Schizosaccharomyces pombe: one gene and its partners. The main gene of each other region encodes a partner of the protein of the gene in region 3 in a complex. Each region holds a gene or a part of one and is shown on either strand. Other genes may lie near its edges. A codon is read from its position in the direction of its gene.

Evidence for each region.
Region 1: the proteins of naa38 (region 3) and naa35 are in contact, whole or in part, in a cryo-EM structure (PDB 7L1K), measured with the Schizosaccharomyces pombe proteins. Residues at the interface, in NP_595273.3 of Schizosaccharomyces pombe: Gly4 (codon at 1,760), Glu5 (codon at 1,763), Leu7 (codon at 1,769), Leu8 (codon at 1,772), Thr9 (codon at 1,775), Trp11 (codon at 1,781), Leu12 (codon at 1,784), Asn13 (codon at 1,787), Ser15 (codon at 1,793), Val16 (codon at 1,796), His17 (codon at 1,799), Ile20 (codon at 1,808), Asp22 (codon at 1,814), Arg24 (codon at 1,820), Phe26 (codon at 1,826), Ile27 (codon at 1,829), Leu31 (codon at 1,841), Cys32 (codon at 1,844), Thr33 (codon at 1,847), Asp34 (codon at 1,850), Arg35 (codon at 1,853), Glu36 (codon at 1,856), Gly37 (codon at 1,859), Ala38 (codon at 1,862), Ala39 (codon at 1,865), Ile40 (codon at 1,868), Asn48 (codon at 1,892), Lys49 (codon at 1,895), Phe51 (codon at 2,049), Arg53 (codon at 2,055); in NP_596720.1 of Schizosaccharomyces pombe: Ala35 (codon at 5,407), Gly36 (codon at 5,404), Tyr37 (codon at 5,401), Val38 (codon at 5,398), Asp39 (codon at 5,395), Cys40 (codon at 5,392), Thr41 (codon at 5,389), Ser43 (codon at 5,383), Tyr44 (codon at 5,380), Phe45 (codon at 5,377), Ala47 (codon at 5,371), Thr48 (codon at 5,368), Lys49 (codon at 5,365), Ser50 (codon at 5,362), Leu51 (codon at 5,359), Lys52 (codon at 5,356), Glu53 (codon at 5,353), Gln55 (codon at 5,347), Leu56 (codon at 5,344), Val57 (codon at 5,341), Cys58 (codon at 5,338), Asp59 (codon at 5,335), Phe62 (codon at 5,326), Asp66 (codon at 5,314), Ser67 (codon at 5,311), Ala70 (codon at 5,302), Phe71 (codon at 5,299), Glu72 (codon at 5,296), Ile73 (codon at 5,293), Met74 (codon at 5,290).
Region 2: the proteins of naa38 (region 3) and naa30 are in contact, whole or in part, in a cryo-EM structure (PDB 7L1K), measured with the Schizosaccharomyces pombe proteins. Residues at the interface, in NP_595273.3 of Schizosaccharomyces pombe: Cys32 (codon at 1,844), Thr33 (codon at 1,847), Asp34 (codon at 1,850), Glu36 (codon at 1,856), Ala38 (codon at 1,862), Ile40 (codon at 1,868), Val59 (codon at 2,073); in NP_596246.1 of Schizosaccharomyces pombe: Lys13 (codon at 1,669), Ser28 (codon at 1,714), Lys29 (codon at 1,717), Tyr30 (codon at 1,720), Arg33 (codon at 1,729).

What each region holds. Positions count from the first base shown.
Region 1 is NC_003423.3:4,131,631-4,139,227, reverse strand, and holds naa35 (NatC N-acetyltransferase complex subunit Mak10), read right to left. Parts: upstream 5,570-7,597; 5' UTR 5,510-5,569; coding exon 3,815-5,509; intron 3,770-3,814; coding exon 3,338-3,769; 3' UTR 3,248-3,337; coding exon of another isoform or gene 701-3,247; 3' UTR 643-700; downstream 1-642. Other genes in the region: RNA-binding protein Prp24, read left to right, coding at 21-252, 377-642, 701-3,247; ARS-binding protein Abp2, read right to left, coding at 5,943-7,526. UniProt on the Schizosaccharomyces pombe protein: Component of the NatC N-terminal acetyltransferase.
Region 2 is NC_003423.3:3,020,801-3,023,762, forward strand, and holds naa30 (NatC N-acetyltransferase complex catalytic subunit Naa30), read left to right. Parts: upstream 1-1,597; 5' UTR 1,598-1,632; coding exon 1,633-1,748; intron 1,749-1,836; coding exon 1,837-2,173; 3' UTR 2,174-2,330; downstream 2,331-2,962. Other genes in the region: zng1 (nucleotide-binding domain-containing protein CobW/HypB/UreG), read left to right, coding at 53-1,288; autophagy-associated protein Atg9, read right to left, coding at 2,713-2,962. UniProt on the Schizosaccharomyces pombe protein: Catalytic component of the NatC N-terminal acetyltransferase.
Region 3 is NC_003423.3:675,011-679,951, forward strand, and holds naa38 (putative NatC N-acetyltransferase non-catalytic subunit Naa38), read left to right. Parts: upstream 1-1,726; 5' UTR 1,727-1,750; coding exon 1,751-1,898; exon of another isoform or gene 1,899-2,046; coding exon 2,047-2,117; 3' UTR 2,118-2,572; downstream 2,573-4,941. Other genes in the region: AP-1 adaptor complex beta subunit Apl2, read right to left, coding at 2,573-4,624. UniProt on the Schizosaccharomyces pombe protein: Component of the NatC N-terminal acetyltransferase, which associates with the ribosome to acetylate nascent protein chains in a cotranslational manner.

The DNA of each region.
Region 1 (7,597 bases), 3.5 Mb from region 3:
TCTTCGTCGGTTTTGACGAAATGAGTCAAATACAAGATTTAAAAGATGAGAATGTCGAAATGGATATTGATCCACAAGAACAAAACGAAAAAAAGCCTTTGCTTCTGGATGAATTGACCAAATTTACGATTTTACATCCCTATAATTATGATAGTCATATTAAACTCATTGAAGAGTTAAAGCGTCTAGATAAAAAGAAGGAGTTGTCAGAGGCTAGAAAGACTTTTCAATCGATCTTTCCACTTTCAGAAGGTATGTCAATCAACAATCGTCTAGGTAAAGCGTGTTGAGGCGAATTCCATAGACTCGCAAAAATTATTCACTAATTACTTTAACTTTGTTAATCTTTTGACAAGCATTTATTAATGGTTTTTAGATTTGTGGGTAGATTACCTTTTAGATGAGTGCAAAAACTGTAGGACTTTAGACGACTATGTGAGGATAAAAACATTGTTTGATTTGGCAGTTCAAGATTATCTGTCAATCAAAATTTGGTGTATGTATCTTGAATTTACGCTAAACTTAATGGACACTTCTTCTTTTGAACAAGAACAGTCTGAATTAAACGGCGTTATTACTTTGACAGATGCCCATTCTCTTTTTGAACGTGCATACCAAACTTGCAAATTTCATTTTTCTAAAGTAAGGAACTAAAAATTTTCTTCATGATAAAAATGTATTTACTAATCAATGTTTACAGAGTCAATGTGTTTGGACGTTATATTTGGAATTTTTACAGACGTTCGGTGATGCTCTATTTGAGGGAGAAGAAGAGCAAGAAATTGTTTTTAAAAACAAGATATATGATTTTCATATTGATAGATTAAAACTTCCACATGAGCAGATTGAAGAAACGTTTACTTCTTTATCAACGTTTGTCACAAATAACTGGTCTCCTTCCGAATATGAGGATGTTATGGTGAAAAGCAATAAAGTGTATGAGACTACACTTAAAAGAAATGCAAAAATTTTTAATAAAGAACTATTGTTAAACAGCGCAAATCATTCTCTCGAAGCGTATATGGATTTAATTAATGATGAATCGCGACGCTCAACAGCTGAGTTACAATATATAACAACTCTCTATGAGCGTGCCATAGTTTTGTATCCCCTCATTCCGGAACTCTGGTTGCAATACACTGCCTGGCTTAGTAAAGTGGATTTTTCTTCTTCTCAAGCGTCCAGTGTAGCAGAACGAGCTACTCGTAACTGTTCATGGATTGGGCGTATTTGGTCCATTAAACTGACTTATATGACGCTTTCTGGAGCATCCACATCGGCTGTCTGTGAAGAGAAAGATCGATGTTTGAATTCAAATTTGCTCGTAAATTTTGACGAGGTTATTGATTTTTTTAGCGGATTTTTAAAAGCATGCCTATATTTGTCTTCTAATGAAGATAAGCCACAGGAATTTTTGAAACATCAAATTCATAAAGTCGAAGACTATTTGCGAAAAAATCATAAGGGATCAAAGGATGCAAGAATGCGCATTGAACTTTCAAAAATTTATTTATATTCAGAAATCTCTGATTTTGAAAGCGTAGAAAAGTGCTGGTCTGATATGTTTCATGATTTTCAAAATCAGGCATTATATTGGATTTCTCGATACATAAGTACGATGAAGTATAACCCAGAGCTTGCGGCTGAGACGTTAAAAAAAAGCCTTTACAAAAACGTTGATCAGCCTCAACTTCTGTTCCAATTTTATCAATCCATTATGGACCTTAATAATGACTGTTTCACAAACACATCACATTTATATGACGTTTTAAATGCACAGAGGATTAGCTTCAAACGTCAATTGGATTCTTTTGCTGAAGAAACGAAGCAGACTGTCGAAAACACCGAACCACTAAAAGTGCCTCAAGCTGATGATACAGCCGCCCTTTCAAAGAAAAGAAAACCTGGGCAAGAAGGTGATGTGTTCAAAAAGTCGAAACCTATTGAGCAACACAGGAATAGGGAAGAACTTACAGTTTTGGTTACCAATCTACCTTCCGATATAAGCGAAAATGAGTTGAAAATTTTTTTCAAAGATTGTGGTAATATTATACGCATTTTTATCCTCGAAGACAATCAAAAGGATGTTAAAGTGGCTCAGATTGAATTTTCTGAAACCAGTGAAGTTCTTGCTGCTAAAACAAGAGACCTTAAATCGATAAGGGGTCATGAAATTTCTGTTCAAATTCATGTAGACACGAACCTCTACGTTACCAATTTTCCTCCGACTTATGATGAATTAGATATAACCAAATTATTTTCTGCATATGGTAATGTGGTTGACGTCCGTTTTCCTAGTCTAAGGTATAACACGAACAGGCGTTTTTGTTATGTACAAATGAGAAAGCCCGATGAGGCACACAATGCCCTGCAGTTACATAAGAAGCTATTGGAAGAGAAGTATCCTATTCAAGTCTTTATATCAGACCCGCTTCGGCGAACTCCTAGAAGCGGTGCTGTCTATGAGGGTAGAGAACTCTACGTTACAAATATTGATTTTAAAGTAAATGAAAAAGACGTAGAAACATTTTTTAGGGATTATGGGCAGGTTGAGAGTGTTCGAATACCGAAAAGATTTAATCAACATAAAGGTTTTGGATATGTGGTAATGACTACAAATCAAGATGCTGAAAATGCACTTTCTGCTGCTGGAAAGCAATTGGGAAATAGAGTTTTGAACGTTGTTTTGTCGAAGCCTCGAGAATCTCTAGAGAAAACAAGGGTATCATCCAATGACAACCGAACCTTAGCTAAAAGCTTTGAGACTACTGAGTCAAATAAAATGTCAACGCCAAAAAAATCATTCGAACAAATCAAAAGCAAAAGCCTAGGAGTCACTAATGTCGACGGGACTGTTAACGAGGCTAGACTTAGAAGTTTATTCGAAAGCTACGGAAAGTTGTATAGAGTTGTTCTTCATCCTGAACATGAAGGTGCTGTAGTAGAGTTTTTGGATATTCATGATGCGGGAAAGGCATCCTTGGCATTAGAAGGACATGAAATTGGTGGCAGGTTACTACACATTACCACTGTCAATGAAATGATGCACAATGTCCCATCTAGTATGAATCATTCCGATTACAATACCTCTGCTACACGCCCACGGCGACTCGGAAGCCGAACGTTTCAAGGTTTCAATTCCAATCATTCCAATATAAATTCTAAGAAGGACGATTTAGACGATAAAGAAATGCAGATAGATGCACCTAAAAGCAACGATGATTTTAGGAAAATGTTTTTAAAATAGTCAGCAATAATTAGATTGAATGATTAAAAAAATATTGAAAACCTAACTTTTGATAATTTTGATTTATTAACATAAAAGACGAACAACACCTCATGTACGTGAAAGACTTGGGAGCGGATTTCCAGGTATTTCCACTATTTTTAGATTAGCACTATGATCTTTGGATAAGATTGCAAGTGAAACCAGATTTGTAATGCAGCAACATAATAAATTTTTTAAATAGTTGGTTTGCAAGAAATACGGGTTGATGAACTCATTCTGTTCAAAACCGGATTTTATAACATTAATAAGGCTATTCTTTGCAGCAGTGAATTTTTCATTAGATTTGATGATTAAATCATCCGTAGAGAAATTTTGAAGATTTTTGATTATGCAATCAGCTTCCGAACGAAGTAGTGGCTTGGGTTGACGCAAATTAATTAAAGGACGATAATGGGCCATGTAATATGACTCTTGAATTTTTTCATCAAGAGTAAATGAAGGAGTTTTAATGATATTCAACCGCATACAAAGCACCGTCAGCTAAAATCGTTAGAATAAAAAAGAAGCGATAAGCTTTATACATACTAGTAAATAGCCAGAATAGGTCTCCTTTATAGCATTCAATATTCGATGCAAATATGTAACAAAGGTTTTGGCCATAGGTGGGGTATTACGATCCTTTCCATGAAGCTCTAAATGAGTCTGGTGGATAGAAAAGACATGATCAAGCACAGCAAAAAAATGGGGCCATTGATATGGTTGGTGAAGTTTTTGTTCAAAGGAAGAAAGCAAGATATGCTCAATTGCATTTAGCTTAACATGGTAAATAAATGATGAAAACGGTCCATTACTTGGTAGGCTTTTTGCTACGAATTTCAAATCAAGCGCTTCAGCTTCAAAATGAGCAACGGTAATTTCAGGAAGTAAATTTATTAGATTACGGCGGAACCGACAGGGATTGTGGGAACAAATTCGGACAAGGTCAACCATGATATTAGTTGAATGAGCAATCAAAGACTCAACTAGCGGACCATAGGCTGATGAGATAGAGTTTTTTTCGATTACTGTACGGGTGTTAGGATTATAAAAATTTGAAGGAAGCCCAGAAAACTCACGAATACATTCTAACATATACGAAGTAGGTTGATCCCTTAGATTAACTGCATTGTTAGCAGTGATAAGTGCTTGAAGGGAGGAACGGACGTAAGGCTCTGGAGTACGATTCAATCTCGTAAAATCTAAACAAAACTGATATACTGCCAAGGAAGAAGCGAGAGTGTGGCTATTCAAAATCAAAAGCATATCATCAGCAAAATACAAAATTCGTTGATAAGAATGCTCAATGCCAGTAGGAGGAATATTCCTCACAGGAGCTGTAGCAACTAATTGGGCTTGGACGCGAAAATCCCAATATTGCTTTAATATGCTCTCCTTGATAGATGAATCAACTACCGAAACCGTGTTCTGAATCTCGGGTACCAAATTTTTGATCAGATGGAGAGCATCGATGGTGGTCTTAATATCACTCCTTTCATACACTCGTAAAATACCAATTCGAAGTTGTATTCTATTGAGAATTCCCTCGATAATTTGTCGTAACTCGGCAGAAAATTTTATAACCTCGGAAGCCAAATATTCGATGCTAGATTGCAAAAGATAATTGAGTTTTTCTATGGGGTAATTTTGAAGAAAGGACATGTGATATGAAAACGAACTAATGTCTTCCTCGTCATATAAATTTCCCATCAGAAATTCTCGATGAACAATATCGCAACATTTAATAACAGCCAAAACAAAAGGGAAAAGAACGATGTCAGTTGTATTCCTTCCGCTACCACTGGAGAAGCCACTGTCACCCACTTGTGAAATAGGCGACTTGCAAATGGAGAACACATGGGCACTACAGAGTAAGCTCTCTGATAAGGGGGATCCATAATGCCACTCTTTTTCCGCAGAGACAATTAAATCCATTAACGCTAATATTTCCAAGTAAGAGAGATCACGTGAAAAATCTACACGAAGTGGCTGATAATCAATCCCACTATCCATTTTCGGTTCCATAATTTCAAAGGCACTGATTGAATCCAATAATGTAAATTTTGGATCACATACTAGCTGTTCCTCTTTCAGAGATTTCGTGGCTTCAAAGTAAGACTTTGTACAGTCGACATATCCAGCGTTATCAACATAACCTTCGTTCCCTTTGGCCGGTTCCACATTTCCAATCTTCACATTTCCTTGCATAGAATTAAGCAATGATAGGGACTCTTTAACAGACATAAAATCGACAAAACACCCCTATATTGACCAATTTTCTATTGAACGTCTAGTTTATGGGTTAATGAAAAGTGTTACTCTGTAAGTCACAACAAAAATTCCACGCATAAAAATGCTTGTTCAATAACATTTTCGAGAGTAAATAAGATGGTAATTTTTTCAATAATAATAAAAACAATGATAAATCCAATTTGAAATTATTTTACTTGTATCTGCAAAGGTAAAAAACTATCTCGATGGTAACCCATCTCACCTAGCAGTAGAATATCTAAAAACTTTTTATAAAATAAAGAGAAGGAAAACAAAATAAATACTTTAAACAATTATGCTTTTTTGAACATGAGAATTTTGTAACTTTGAAATTGCACCAGTTCGTGGAACGTGCAGTCGCAAAGTGTACTGCATAAATAGATACATGCATGGAAGAATCGTGATTTCAGTCAAACACTGCATTCATAATCTTTCTCTTTAAATTTTCGAGTTCTAAATTTTTTTCTTTTAGGGCCGCATTCAGTTTGGCAATTTCTAATTTTAATGAGGAAACAGTGTCTAAAGGCTCCATTGAATTTGAATGAGATATAGGGACATCGGGAATCATCTGAGCTTCTGCTAATGAGTGCATACTCGGCGCTTTTTCCAAATTGAATGCATGACATATAGTAGCTGTTAATGGTCCTTGATGAACGGTCCAAATTAAGCGATCGGTACTGGCTTCAAGGATTTCGGAATGAGAAGAGACCAGGGCTAAAAGAGTACTTGAGATGAACTTAAAATTGGGAGTTTTGGGGATCGGCGAAGTTTCGGAGGGAGGAAGATATTGGGATATCGTTTCAGTATAGTGTGATAAAAGTTGAGAAACCGTTTCCATGGGCAGACGAGCAACATGTGAAAATGCAGAGCGAAGCATTGTATTTTGAGCATGCATCAACTTTTCAAATCTTTCATACCAAGAGATACTTAGCGTTAATGACACAGATGGTTCAGATCTCAGCCGTTTAATTTTGTTACGAGCTCCTGGCGGACGCCCGCGTTTACGAGGGACTCCTGCTTCATTTTCAACATTTTCCGTTTCTACTTGATTGGTTTGTCGAGACCAAGAATCATTCAACCCGTCACTTTCTTTGGGTGAAGAAACGTCTCGTAAATCATCAGGCCATTGATGCCAGTCAGGATCAATGGAATCAGCAACGCCAACTGCTTCAGCAGTTTGAAAAGCGTGATCATGGTTATGTGAATTGTTGGCTGCGGAAGGTAACTGATGGTCTTCGTCAGGTGGTTCAAACATATTTGGAGGATGTGGGAGAGAATGGTTTTGAGGAGTTGTCTGATGTGCTTGTTGAGAACCTCGTTCAGACATGTGATGGGACGCTCTCATTAAAAGGGATTGAGGGGTAGGGCATTCTTGGGAATCTGCATGAGGGTTTGTGACAAAGCTACCAAGATTGTGAGTGTTGTCGTCTAAACTAGCACTAGCTGAATGAATCCAGTTAGAAGGGGAGGTTGACGTGCGCATTGTGGAGATGGAGGAAGAGTTAACATCTGGATGAGACATTAAGCCTGCACGTAAAGATTTAATAACCAAATCATCAGTTACATTTACATTGCATCGAACTTGAGGTTGGGTTTCAGGAATTTCGAGATAATAAGGATTTGGTTTATTCAGGAGATAATCGAAAAAAGCATCAACATGTGTTTGACTCATCCACCGTTTTAAACGAACAACATACTGTTGTATTTTTTGAGTAGATTGTTCATCTTTTCGTTCCACACCAAGAAAACCCACCAGCTTGGACCAAGAGTTAATTATTTTTTGGTGGTATTGCCGGACAAGGAGAAATAAGACCCAAATCTCAAATTTTTGACCCTCTGATTTAGGAATCATATTGAATGCATTTGCTAATTGCCTCGTGTCAGCACCTGCATACCAGGGATTGCAGCAAAGACAGAATTGGCAGAACTTTTCAGTAATATTATCCGCGCTAACATCATGTCTAGATGGCAACAAGGAATAAAAGTTCATCCTTGATTAATTGCTTTAAAAAACAATAAAAAATGTAAAAAGACAGATAGATAAACGTTGGATTATTAAGT
Region 2 (2,962 bases), 2.3 Mb from region 3:
ATTCAACTCGAAAAGATTAATTATATGACCATTATTTAAAAAAGGTGTAAGAATGGACTTTGAAATTGAAAACGAGTCGGAAATTCCACAGCTGGTTGACGTTGAAGAGGTTAACACACAACCGCATTCGGAAACATTAAGCGTACCTACGGTTTCGTCCAATAATGATATTGATTCATTTGAGCAGCAATCAGATTTTCTTCTAGTTGATCATGACTCTACCTTGGACCCAGTCCCTGTCACAATACTGACGGGCTTTTTGGGTGCCGGTAAAACTTCTTTGCTACGGTCAATTCTTGAAAATCGAAATGGTAAAAGGGTTGCTGTATTAATGAATGAGGTGGGTGATTCGGGAGACCTTGAAAGGAGCTTAATGGAGGATGTTGGAGGAGAAGAACTTTATGAAGAGTGGGTGGCTCTTTCAAATGGGTGCATGTGTTGCACTGTGAAAGACAATGGGATTAAAGCTTTGGAAAAAATTATGAGGCAAAAGGGGAGATTTGATAACATTGTAATTGAAACAACGGGTATAGCCAATCCTGGTCCTCTTGCTCAAACATTTTGGTTGGACGACGCGTTGAAAAGCGATGTCAAGTTAGATGGCATCGTTACTGTTATTGATTGTAAAAATATAGATAATATCTTAAAGGATGAAAGTGATATTGGTTTTATTCAAATTTCACATGCTGATTGTTTGATCTTAAACAAAACAGATCTTATTTCTTCTGAAGCATTATCTGTGGTACGTCAAACTATATTGAAGATCAATTGCTTAGCGAAGATTATTGAAACAACATATGGACGGTTGGATGACATTTCTGAAATTTTGGACTTGGATGCATACGGCAACGAAAATACTTCTAATCTTGAGTGGTCGATTCAAAGGAGCAATGATAGCAATATTAATTGTTCTACTTGTTTGGACGTGGATTGCCAACATTTGCATTCTCTCGATACGCATAGCCTTGATATCTCAACTCATACTTTTAAACTGCCCCCACTAATGTCGAAAGAGGTTTTTCAGCAATTTCTACAATGGGTTCGTCATACACTTTGGTCTTGTTTGGAGGAAGGGGAAGACGAGGAGTTTATGATTTATCGAAGTAAAGGAATTTTTAATAAAGACGATGGCTCTTGGTACATCTTTCAGGGTGTTCGCGAAGTATTCGAAATTATGCCGCTGTCGGAGAAGCCTCGAGCATTTTTAGAAAAGGATATCCATCCCGAAATTATCCTAATTGGGCGTAATCTACATCGAATATCTCCTTTCGTCGTCGGAAACCAATAATGGCAGTTATTTTATATTTCATTTTAATAATGTATATTGATATATGTTTGTTGAATTAATTTTAAATGTACGCAATAAAAAGCTTTTATACTAAATTATTTTATATAACACTCAATATTATAAATGTCATATCATTGACATAGATGTAACAAATCCAAGCAAAAAAGCCAAATTATAAACTTAATTTATACTGGCCTACTCGTTTATTCATTGTTTATAATACTCAGTTTAAGAACCGCATATAACGTTTTAACGCTATATCTGTAATTTCGACATTCGTCTTAAAGCTGTTGATATATACAGCTCTGCAACCGTTACAGACCCTAAATTATATCTAGAAGAGAATGGTGACAATTGTCCCATACAGTCACCAATATTTAAAAGATATATGTCAGCTTATTCAAAAAGATTTGAGTGAGCCATATAGTAAATATGTGTATCGTTATTTTGTGCACCAATGGTATGTTCCCATTTCATTGATTTCTCAAACTGCTTCTTGCATATTATGAAACTCGGCAATATCATTATAGTTTACTGACAGATTAAAGGCCAGAATTCAGTTTTGTTGCTTTAGATAATGATCGATTTATTGGAGCTGTAATATGCAAACAAGATGTTCATAGAGGGACGACGCTTAGAGGTTATATAGCAATGCTGGCCATAGTAAAAGAATACAGGGGACAAGGAATCGCTACTAAATTGACTCAAGCTAGTCTGGATGTAATGAAAAATAGAGGTGCCCAGGAAATTGTTTTGGAAACAGAGGTGGATAATGAGGCAGCCATGTCTTTTTATGAAAGACTCGGGTTTTGTCGCTATAAACGTCTTTATCGTTATTATTTGAACGGCACTGATGCATTTCGATACATCTTGTACCCGAATTGAAAAACAATGCTACAAAATAAAATCGCGGCATTTTCTATGCTCTAAGAAAATTTGTTTCCACTTGTCGCAGTATAAGTGAAAGTTTTAAAGTTGTTCCAATCTATTTATTTTTTTTTATTTTTTTTCTTCTACTGATTAATACCATAAGTAATTGTCATTAGTCGTCACTGTAGCGTAACTCCGTAATTATAACTGTAATAAACAGTGTTTACATTGATTCAAAGAAATTGTACGGATGTTCATAAAAATAATATCATTCCATTAAATGTAAACTTCATTAATAGTAAAACATAAAGTCTACAGCTGAATAAATAAAGAAGCTTCAACGTAAACTGCTAACTCTCCAAACAAACAATCACCATTCATTAAAAGAAATTAGTAAAAATACAATCATTACATGCATTAGTGGCTCAAATTGCCTTGCTAGCAAATTGTTAACACTTCTTATAAACATTGTCCTTCATTTTGTATGACAGAAAAATAAACCATTAAGCCATTGAGACTTGCTTGGTTGTTTCAAGAACTGACTCTCAATTTCATTAACGAAGATCCCTTCTAGGTGCTTCCGTATTAAATTGTTCGTAAAAGCTGATGCGAGAAAGTTCTGGTTTATTTTGAATTAGAGGGCTTATTTTACGTGATTGTACCAAAGAAGCGACAGACTCATAAGGCGGGTTGTCCTGGAAAACAGCGTAACTACAGACGTACCCAACGCCTTCAACGTTTATAGTATGTTCTCTGAAGAAATCCACAATATCTTGACTGCAGGAAGGAAAAGTGAAAAACAAC
Region 3 (4,941 bases):
ATAATATCGAAATTTCTGTAATGTAAAGCGACTCAACTTTTTCCTGTTCGACAAAATTTGATCATAGGGGAAAAAACGAGATGAAGTTTGGCTATTCATATAACGATGAATTTTATGTGCTGGAGGGAGCTCGGTTGAACCTATTACCATAAGTATTTTTTACAAACACATAATTTTACTGTTTCGTAGCACGGTCTATTATTGTAGAAATGTTTTAACCTTTATAAGCGAGATAAAACAGTCAACTCGTTACGCAAACTTATCGACACTTTGCGAGAGTTAAAGTTACCAAGCTTTCCTACATCGCTGGTTGGAAAGACATAGTTAAAATGAAGCTGGTTTGCTGGCTTTCAAAATAGGAAGATTTCCCAATGTTTTAGTATATAACCGAGATCGCTTAAAATACTTTACTCTGATATCAACAACTCTATGTTCATATCCGTTATCAATCAACAGGGAATTGAGGAACCGTAGCAGTTTTTGTTAAAGTAGAGAAAATGTCAAGTGACCCATAAACTTGTAAATTGGAGATGAACGAACCCCTTAAAAAACCCATTAACGAAACGATTCCCTCTTTTTTTCTCATACAATGAGTTCTTAATAATAAAACTCACATGACAAGTCGGTTCATGAATTCACTTTACTTTGCACTAGACTGCTACAATTCCCTCTCCTTGAAATTTCCAGTACTGCATTGGGACGAAGTTGCCTAGTGTCTTGCCGTCGAAAGGCAGTTTTTGACTCGGCAAGCTTAGAACGTTTTCATGAAACTCTATCAATTGCATAAATGGATGCAAAGACAAACTATTCACGGCATTTGTTTAAACTATTTTTGGATACCGCGATGTAAATAGTATGTATACGGCCTTGATATCCTACTGTACCAACTGTATACTAAATAACGATGCGAAGCGTAGAGGGTTGAAATCAGTAGGAAAAAATACCTACTTTCTGGATTATAATTTCAACCATTCTTTATGAGAATACATTCATGTTGTATTTAGGATCGGTAATTATAGTAATCTACCTTCTCTTTCATCAAAACACACTCTTCAACATGCTAAAAGATCGATACAAAATAAAATCGCAAATGGGATAGTCCGCGCTATGTTATAGAGCATTACGTTGCCATTACTCACCCCACATTCAGTTACTCTATTATACGTAGTTTGTGATACTTAAGGTGATATCGTATACTATGTAAAGACATGCACCAATTCCGTTGTTTAAAATACCAATGTTAATTGCACAGTTTTCAATTCTCCCTAATGTTACGCAGTTTGGTATCTGATTTAAGGATACGGAGAACTGCGGTGAGTTTTCCTTATGGTCTATTTATATTACAATACACAGGTTGTATAAGTAGCAACTGAGTATAGGTATTGTATTAACTGGGTTATAATGTTACCTATCACTAATATAGCTCATAACTGAACTGAGGAACGAGGTTCAGTTGTAACGCTATTTATAATATTTCTAAATAGTTGTTATTAACGGGTATCTATGTATATAGACGGATAATTACCCGTGATTATCAATAAACGGATCTTAGCTAGTATTCCAACATATGACATATAGTGATACGCAACGTAGTGTATCATAGCATAGCGTTATATTAATGGCACTACATTACTTTTTACAATACGATGTTCAAATTTTGTGCATTGCGTTAATGTTTAGTATTTTCAGAGTATGTATATCCACTGCTATTGATTTCACTTCCCCCAAGCTTGATGAATTTTCCTTGATCATGGAAAATGGAGAGATTTTACTGACCAGCTGGCTCAATCGGTCAGTTCATATTGAAATTTTTGATGAGAGAAAATTCATCGGAAAGTTCTTGTGCACTGACAGAGAAGGCGCTGCCATTCTCTCAAATACCACAGAATACAACAAAGGTAAGATTGATATGTGTTCATGAATAGCGCGTCCCTCAAATTCAAGTAAACTTTCGCTGGGTTACTGTTTAAATTGAAAACAAACGTTCCAGCTAGTACCTCTTTCTGTTTTTCACCAATTTCGTCAAAACTAATATAATGAAATCAGGCTTCTCTAGAGCTTTGGGTTTAGTGGTGATTCCAGGAAAGCATATCAAAAGCTTCTCCGTACGTGCCTAAAGCACCCATAAATCTCCTTAACATTTTCATCTCACTTACGTATGTATGTATATATATATATATATATATATTGGAATGAATTCAAAAACGAATATCGCCAGGGATAATCATTACATTCGTACAGATTAAAAAACGCCTATAATTAACATTACAATCTGTACCACTCGTGATAGCACCTCAGTGATAATGATTACTGCAATGAGCAGTCCCTATTTTTGCTTCGCATCCATTTTAACAAATATTTTTTTATTTATTTATAAAAACGAAAGAAGAACATGCTTTCTATGTTAAAATTGACTTTCTGATTTGGGAAAAAACAACAATTGAAACATATCTTCATAAACTAGATGTGCATCAATCAACCTTATCCCGTTTTTCCCATTAGACAAACGAAACGAGATAAATATTAATAAAACAAATCATCATCTATCATGCCACTCATCTGTCGTTTATCTTTAAAGCCCTAACAGATCATCTGTTGCCGATCTAGCCTTTACAGGTTCAGCGTTATTTGTGCTCGGTGCCTCAAAAGCCATGAACAAATCCATTGCACTATTTGAGCCCGACTGAGGTTGTGCGCTGGTTATTGGAGAATCACTGGCAGACGTTGCGCCTGGATCAGTAAAATCAAGGTCAAGCAAATTTTCAACGTTGGCTCCTTTTTCAATAGCTTCATGAACATTGGCTTCTTCAATGTTCAATTCTTCAACAGCTCGACGCTGTATTGCGTCTGCGCCAAACTTGCCCTGGCCAATAAAGGATTCCGGTAATTTATGGTATACAGAAGCAAGAGTTGTGATTTCACACAACAGAGCATCCAAAAGTGCCTCAGGTAGATTGTTATTATAAGATACGGAAGGCTTTTCGCAACAAACAATTTTTTGAGCTTTACGAACATTTTCAGGTGTCAACAACCGCTGATATGCAAAGGCACGATCCCTTAAATCCTGATTGCTTGATTGATTAATTGCATAATTTAATACTTTCTGTACGAGTTCTTCATCGTTTCCTTTGCCGTTCATCAAACTCAATTTTACAACAGCCGTCAGTAAAGCCAATTGAATCTGTAAATCTTCATCCGCCATAGTAGAAATCATTTCGGATAATAGTTTAGAAGAAGTAGGTATAACGTGTGAAAATTCCCCTAAAATCCAAGCCATACTACTACGGGCTCTAGGGTCACCAAGCTCCTCAATGACACGAGAAAGATATGGAAGTAATAAGTCAATCTTTTGAGGGTATTTGCGCAAAACCGTTTCCATCACCACCGTGACTTCTTGAACCATATAACTAATATTTAACTCATAGATTTCAAGAAATATGGAGATGCAATCATTGATGACGCTTGGAACTTTCAATGCAACGTCTCCAAGGCATTTAATCGTTTGTTTCACAAATTCTAGTTCAACTTCGGAAACGTACGCTCGAAGCTCGGAAATGGTCTCGTTAATGTTTTCGTCACATGCAAGCATTGTAATTATCTTTAGTTTCTCCATTTTAATATAAAGAGGATCATTATATTTGCAGAAAAAAACCCGAGTTTTGACATCAAAAATAGAAGGCCTCTTTTGTAATATTAAATTAATGTTCCGTAAGGCTACATACTGGATTTCTGAGTCCGTAGAAAGTAGCGTCAAAAGAGGAGGAGCCATTTTTTTGTACAGAAAGTCTGTAAAGTCACTGGAAAAGAGAGGGATATGTACCATTATGACTTTCACAGCGGACAAAACGACACCACTATTTGCATGTTGGAATTGAGGAACCACCCTTTCACAAACATATTCAGCTTCCTTGATATCAGAAGTGCGAAATCTAGCTAAAGAATTCAAAATAGTAATCCGACCCCACTCATTACACTCACTCAAAGCAACCATTAGCCTGTCTGTCATCGTGTAAACTACATTAAAATATCCCTTTTCAGGGTCCTGATCATGAATTTCAGCAAGTGAGCGGACTGCATTAGCCACAACCACAGGATTCGGATCAGATACCAACGCCTGCAATTGTTCGATGAAACCATTTGATGCACAGTATTCTCGATCAAGGTCATACATCTTTACAACACAAACCGCTGCAGCCTTACGAACATAGGGATGCTCATCCTTCAAAGCTTTTCGCAACGGATCTGCCAAATAGCCAATGATTTTATTTACCCGAATGCAACCCATAGTTCTAATTGCCAGAGCTCGTAAAGTAGGATTATATTCCTCAGAATCCTTTACAAAAGTATTAACGGCTAAAATACAAAGATCAGGGTGTGTTTTGGCATAGTTAATTAGATATAAATAAACCAGTTTTTTCAAGGTGATATCGCGAGTAGCTAGGTTCTTTAAAACATCGGGAAACAGACTAGACACATCCTTGCCAACAGTCATTGCGGCAATAGTCCGTTTCACAGCATCAATTCTCTCGTAGGCATACTGAGAAACTAGTCCCTTTTGTAATTCACTTGTTTCGCTTTTTTTAAATGCCTTAAAACGGCTCGATTGAAACAACTTTGGAACCATTCGGTACTATTGTATAATTCCGCTCTTTATGTAGCTCTTTTAAAGGTGGTAAACGTCCTAAGGTCAAAAACACGTTTACATATATAAAGCAGTGGTTCAATAATCATGTCAAGTCAAACCCATTCGGTGAGAAACACCCACTCCCAGAAGTAACAAAGGTGACAATATCGAATACTGAAATCCAATTTCTATATATTCATGATTTCATTTTCAACCTGCAATGCTTTAAACGCTACTATTATGACCTTTAAATAAATTTTAAAACATTTAATTCAGTATACAAACAAGAGGTTGAAATGTTATTTCAATAAAAGCTA